Xenopus tropicalis: one gene and its partner. Each later gene encodes a partner of the first gene's protein in a complex. Links are inferred from orthologs where the notes say so. Each region holds a gene or a part of one and is shown on either strand. Other genes may lie near its edges.

Region 1 (3,836 bases):
TATATTTCCATAGTTGCCAAAGGTCCAAAAGATTTTAGTGTATATATTGTAGGCTTTTAAAAATGAAAAATAGTTTAACAATCTTACATCCAGAAACCAATATCCATACTCTTCTCTCATTCTATAAGTCTTGAATAAACAAAGATCCACATTACTTGTATAACTCTCCTGATAAAGAAATTCTGAATGCTGTTCCATCTGACACTGCAGAAATAGAATGAATGTGGTTTGCTCTATTAATGTAGACATACTGATACAGTAGCAAAGACCTCCCTGGAAATTTCCGTTATTGCCATCTATGTAGTGCCAAATGAACAAATGATTAGCTAATCATGTCAGATGATAAAAATGCTGTTCACGCTACTATTTTTCTGTTTTTGCCTGTATCTCACATTGTGTTAGTGACATTGTTACTCTGTTCATGTATCTCTTTCCCTGTCAGTTACAATAAATTACTCTTTTACATGTCAGATGAGCCTACCTTGGACTAAAGAGCAGTACCTGCTAGAAATATTAATCATTTTTGCTTTTATCAGTAATTGGCTTGGAAATGGTGTCTTCATCTTGCAAGGAAAAATAAAGCAGTAATGAAAAAATTAATAATGATGAGTTTAATCATTTTAGAAAATGTTAACAGCACCAAATGATTTATTTTCTAAGAAGTAGTAGAAACCATCAAATTGGTTGTTCTTTATTTTTATTTTTGTTTTTTAAAAAAAATACCACAGCTTTGTGGGGGGTATTTTTTCACAATTTATATTTTTTTGCACAAAATCCTTTTTTCGACAGAAAAAAACTTGATTTATTATGCATCAAAACTGCAACAAATCTGAAAGTAAAAATGAAAAAAAATATCTAAAAGCTGTTGAGGTTATATAAAAGTCAAATCTATCTGACGCAAATCATCTTCTAGCATGCAGGGCTTAAATTATGTATGTACTGTATAGATTGTGTGTATATTTTTATTTCAGTAGTGCTACTTATGTACGCAGTAATGTATAGCAGAACAATAAATTAATAGGACAAACGCGTCATTACAGTAATTAATACAAATAAATACACAGTACAGATACATAAAAGATCCTAAGTGTCAAAGAAACAAGAGGAAGTGCTGCAGAGCTTACAATCTAAGTGGGAGGGTAACAGACACAATAGGAGCATATTAAGTAACAGAATAATAGAATTTTTTGGAGACTGCAGATTTAAATTTTTTTCTTTTAATGTTCACCTATTTATTAAACTACAATATAAATTTAGTTTAAACAAAAATTCTATGCAATTTTGACTTGTCATAATTATAAAGTACTTTGACCAAAATTATTGTTGAAATTTGTTTGCCAGCTCAGGCCAGAACAAAATCTGATTATTTCCAATGGAAGATTGAAGAATACATTTTAGACAAAATGAGAGAAGAAATCCACAATATTGTACTGTTCTCCCTAATATTTTACCCTGTCTTAGTGAACTATATCATGTAATCCTTTTGCAACAAACTGTTCCAGGTACATGGTCTACCAACAGGTCATAGTTGCACATCACTACGAAGCATGGCCAGTAATGAAAGGACTAAAGATGACTGCGAGCAACAGATGCAATTCCCAGATGTTTTTCTATACATTGTAGCAAGAACATAAAACTAGATCTCACATACTGTGTGCTTCCTAGTGACCCATTATTATTAAGACAAATTTAGTATTCTTTTTTCACTATTAGGCATCATTTTAAACTTGTTGGAAGTACTTGACTAGATTGCAGCAAGAACTAAAATATCCAATTAACTGAAACTGATACAGTGTATATAAATATGATGCAACCATGTGGTTGACAATTGTTCATTTCTCAACCCAACTTCCTTACAGTACATAACACTGCTACACCACCATGGACTGTGCGGTCAGTGGCACACTGAGCTTTTCTTTATGCTCTGTGCAAATGATTTGTATGTTTGGGGTTTACTCATCCCCATAAATGAATTATTTCCTAGTTCCTGTTATACTGGCAAACATAAGAGCACTGTAATTAGTTAAGAGAAGGGATTCAATTAATCTTGTGCTTCTGGCAGTGGCACTGCTAATCATATCTACATTTGATTAATAATTATTTCACATGGCCACAATGCAATGTCCATGGTTAAGTTTCTGTCTCTTCTTCCATTTGTACTATTGCTTCTAATACTATCTGCCAGTCTTATTCATGGAATCCCCTATCATGGCATACTGTGTCATTGCACTTACTCCAAAGATGCCCTTGCTTAATTGTATGAAGGTCAGAGTTTGAGTACATAAAATGAATTCACAATGTCTCCCACTGTAACAGAGCATTATCATAGGTTTCATAAATATATTTCCCTTCTCTACTCTCCCCTTTTATTTCTAATCCCCAACATTTATGTGCCACCCTCCATCTGGCAGATCCCCGCCCCCTTACCTTTCTCCCCTACTCTGTTGGAGTGCTCCAGTGCTTAGTCTGCAACTCTGCTTTTCTCACTCTGCCATATATCTATGGAAACTAAGTTTTTGGGTTCCAGTACTTTATCTATGCAGATAAAACCCAGTCCTAAAGTGCTGATCTCCTTATAGTCACAGAACTACTGAATTTGGGTATACACATTCAGATGAAATTGGCAAATGTGGTCTTCTTTTTTGTTTCTTTAACCAAAGTAATTGTAAACCGCTAGTGTGTTTAAATGAATGAATTCCACTTGGTATCCGCACAAGGAAATGCTGTTGTCCACACACTAAAGGAGTTGTTCACCTTTTGAGTTAACTTTTAGTATGATGTAGAGAGTAATATTCTGAGACAGTTTGCAATTGATCTTCATTTTTTATTATTTGTAGATTTTGAATGATTTCAGTGTTTGTTCAGCAACTGGAATATGAATAGGAGAGGCCTCACAGAGCAATGGCTTTCTGGCTGCTGGGGCCAGTGACCCCCATTTGAAAGCTACAAGGAGTTAGAAGAATAATTAGTAAAAAAATAATTTTAAAACGTTAAAAAAAAATAAATAATGAAGACTAATTGAAAAGTTGCTTTGAATTGACCATTCTATAACATACTAACATACTTTTTTTAAGGTAAAACCTTTTGGCTGATTAGATAGATTAGATAGAATTCTAATGTAATATTATAATTTAATAAAAGCATCGTTTGGGGTGTTTACTTAGATTCTATGTTTATATTCGAATGTGTTATTCTAGCAATATAAAGGCCTTTTCTACCAGAAAAGAATTATTGTAAAGGTTTTTCATTTAAATGGAGCAACATACTTTCTTCTTATTATTATATTTTTTTGTATTCCAACAGATATACAAAAATGAAGACTGCCACCAACATTTATATATTTAACCTGGCGCTAGCCGATGCCCTAGTTACCACTACAATGCCCTTTCAAAGCACTTCATTTTTAATGAATTCTTGGCCATTTGGAGATGTCCTCTGTAAAATTGTGGTTTCTATCGACTACTATAATATGTTTACCAGCATATTCACTTTAACCATGATGAGCGTTGATAGATATATTGCTGTTTGCCATCCTGTAAAGGCCCTGGATTTCCGTACACCTCTTAAAGCAAAATGCATCAATATATGTATATGGATGTTATCATCCTCTGTTGGAATATCTGCTATTGTACTTGGAGGGACTAAAATTAGTGATGGTAAGTACACAGATAATAAACTGCAAATTACAGTGATTTTGCTTGCAACGTGTAGCATTTGGGCATCAGATCAGGGTGGAACTGCCACTGCCATAAAGACATCTTAATGTTTTCTCTTTGGGCACCCAGATGAAGTTCAGGATTTAAACAAATTAATTTAGAATCCATTATGTACTTTGT
Region 2 (3,352 bases), on another chromosome or scaffold:
CTACATCCCCCCTCCCCACCCAAATACATTAGCCTCTACATCCCCTCCCCACCAAATACATCAGCCTCTACATCCCCCTCCCCACCTACATCCTCTTCCCACCAAATACATCAGCTCTACTCCCCTCCCCACCAAATACATCAGCCTCTACATCCCCCTCCCCACCAAATACACCAGCCTCTACATCCCCCTCCCCACCAAATACACCAGCCTCTACATCCCCCTCCCCACCTACTCAGCCTCTACATCCTCCTCTCAAACAATACACCAGCCTCTAATCCCCTCCCCACCAAATACACCCAGCCTCTACATCCTCCTCTCCACCAAATACACCAGCCTCTACATCCCCCTCCCCACCAAATACCACTAGCCTCTACATCCCCTCCCCACCAAATACCACCAGCCTCTACATACCCTCCCACCAAATTACATCAGCCTCTACATCCCCTCCCCACCAAATACACCAGCCTCTACATCCCCTCCCCACCTACATCAGCCTCTACATCCCTCTCCCACCAAATACATCAGCCTCTACATCCCCCTCCCCACCAAAATACATCAGCCTCTACATCCCCTCCCCACCAAATACATCAGCCTCTACATCCCCCTCCCAACCAAATACACCAGCCTCTACATCCCCCTCCCCACCAAATACACCAGCCTCTACATCCCCCTCCCCACCTACATCAGCCTCTACATCCTCCTCTCCAACAAATACACCAGCCTCTACATCCCCCTCCCCACCAAATACACCAGCCTCTACATCCCCCTCCCCACCTACAATCAGCCTCTACATCCTCCTCTCCAACAATACACCAGCCCTCTACATCCCCTCCCCACCAAATACACCAGCCTCTACATCCCCCTCCCCACCAAATACATCAGCCTCTACATCCTCCTCTCCACCAAATACACCAGCCTCTACATCCCCCTCCCACCAAATACACCAGCCTCTACATCCCCCTCCCCACCAATACACCAGCCTCTACATCCCCTCCCCACCAAATACACCAGCCTCTACATCCTCCTCTCCACCTACATCAGCCTCTACATCCTCCTCTCCACCAAATACACCAGCCTCTACATCCCCCTCCCCACCAAATACACTAGCCTCTACATCCCCCTCCCGACCAAATACACCAGCCTCTACATCCCCCTCCCCACCAAATACACCAGCCTCTACATCCCCCTCCCCACCAAATACACCAGCCTTTACACAGAACTTGCTGATTAACTTTTGCCCCCATGCAGGTATGTTCCTTGCAGTGTGAGGGGTCTCTACTTCCTGATGATGAATGGGAGAGGTGTGGCCAACTCTTATCTTCTCAAGAAGAGGTCCTAGAAGTGAAGAGGGAGCAAGAACTGGTGCCGCCAATGTTGGACTCCCAAGACATGCTGGTAAAGCGCTACGGGGGATTCATACGGAAGCCCGATAAGAACAAATTCCTTAATGCTAAGCGTGAGAACTTTAGCAAAAGGTACGGGGGGTTCCTGCGCAAATATACCCTGCGAGACCTCCCGGATGTCTCTTCCAATCCAGAGGCAAAGCTGGAGTCTCCAGATGCTGAGGAGCTGGGCTGGTTCAGTCCCACCTGGGGCACTAAGGACGAAAGGAAAAGATATGGGGGGTTTCTGCGGAAATACCCCAAGAGGATTCTAAGCCAAGAAGGGGATTTCGAGAGAAGAAGGAGGCTACAGGAGGGGCTGGAGGCGGGGCAAGCCATAGTCACGGGGCAGGAGATAGAGACAGGGCAAGAGCTGGACCTAGAACGTGGCACTGCAGAGCTAGAGAAGCGATACGGAGGGTTCTTGCGCAGAATCCGCCCCAAACTAAGGTGGGACAATCAGAAACGGTACGGGGGGTTTCTACGGCGCCAGTTCAAGGTCAATGCAAGGTCAGAAGAGGACCCCACCATGTTCTCAGGGGAGCTCTCCTACCTATAGAACGGAGGTGGCTGCTGGGGGCGAGAAGGGATGGACATGGCAGAACCCACTCAACTTGTCTTCTTCATGTACCAACAACTCTAATGCCTACCCCCCTAACCATCCTCCAACCATACCCCCCCAAGAACACCAACTGCCCTTCAGCCCATCCCCTCATGAACACCAACTGCCCTTCAGCCCATCCCCTCATGAACACCAACTGCCCTTCAGCCCATCCCCTCATGAACACCAACTGCCCTTCAGCCCATCCCCTCATGAACACCAACTGCCCTTCAGCCCATCCCCTCATGAACACCAACTGCCCTTCAGCCCATCCCCTCATGAACACCAACCACCCTCCAGTCAATCCCCCCATGATGTACTTACCCCGCTCACACAACCCGACGCTACTGGACACTACTCAAGCTCCATTCCTGGTTTTCTGAAGGCCCCAAGAACCTCAGGAGCATGTATATGTGCAAGTTACCCATGCGCCCCCTATGGACACCGTCATGATGGTTCCCCCTCTCTCCCTTACTGCCCCATGTGAGGGGCAGAATAGTTACCATGCTGCTAACTAAACACAAGTCTCAGCCCATGTGACCTCCCAGCTTTGTGTGGAACACGGTTCCACCTCGCCGCCCCCCCACAGCCAATACCCACGGCAAATACCCACGGCAAATACCCACGGCAAATACCCACGGCGTCCCACAGACTTCAATGCCTCTTGTAAAATACGATTGTACAAATAAATTCACTTTATGTCCTAAAAGCAAACGGAAGTGGCTTTTTGTGATCTGTACGTGGGGCAAATAGAATGCTGCCCCCCAGTGGTGGAGCCTTACTGGGCAGTAGTACAACTCCTTGTGGTACTTATGGGGCATTACAGGTACACTAACCCTATAGATCTCTGTGGGGCAAATAGAATGCTGCCCCCCAGTGGTGGAGCCTTACTGGGCAGTAGTACAACTCCTTGTGGTACTTATGGGGCATTACAGGTACACTAACCCTATAGATCTCTGTGGGGCAAATAGAATGCTGCCCCCCAGTGGTGGAGCCTTACTGGGCAGTAGTACAACTCCTTGTGGTACTTATGGGGCATTACAGGTACACTAACCCTATAGATCTCTGTGGGGCAAATAGAATGCTGCCCCCCAGTGGTGGAGCCTTACTGGGAAGTAGTACAACCCCTTGTGGTACTTATGGGGCATTACAGCTACACTAACCCTATAGATCTCTGTGGGGCAAATAGAATGCTGCCCCCCAGTGGTGGAGCCTTACTGGGCAGTAGTACAACCCCTTGTGGTACTTATGGGGCATTACAGTTACACTAACCCTATAGATCTCTGTGGGGCAAATAGAATGCTGCCCCCCAGTGGTGGAGCCTTACTGAGCAGTAGTACAACCCCTTGTGGTACTTATGGGGCAT

Evidence for each region.
Region 2: the proteins of oprk1 (region 1) and pdyn are in contact, whole or in part, in a cryo-EM structure (PDB 8F7W), measured with the Homo sapiens proteins. The link is inferred for Xenopus tropicalis from reciprocal best matches to the Homo sapiens genes OPRK1 and PDYN. Residues at the interface, in NP_000903.2 of Homo sapiens: Thr111, Gln115, Trp124, Val134, Ile135, Asp138, Tyr139, Met142, Lys200, Glu209, Cys210, Asp216, Tyr219, Lys227, Val230, Phe293, Ile294, Glu297, His304, Ala308, Leu309, Tyr312, Tyr313, Ile316, Tyr320; in NP_001177821.1 of Homo sapiens: Tyr207, Gly208, Gly209, Phe210, Leu211, Arg212, Arg213, Ile214.

Annotation. Positions count from the first base shown.
Region 1 is NC_030682.2:114,705,020-114,708,855, reverse strand, and holds part of oprk1 (kappa-type opioid receptor), read left to right. Parts: intron 1-3,303; coding exon 3,304-3,656; intron 3,657-3,836. UniProt on the Homo sapiens protein: G-protein coupled opioid receptor that functions as a receptor for endogenous alpha-neoendorphins and dynorphins, but has low affinity for beta-endorphins.
Region 2 is NC_030686.2:846,308-849,659, reverse strand, and holds pdyn (proenkephalin-B), read left to right. Parts: upstream 1-1,196; 5' UTR 1,197-1,245; coding exon 1,246-1,944; 3' UTR 1,945-2,700; downstream 2,701-3,352.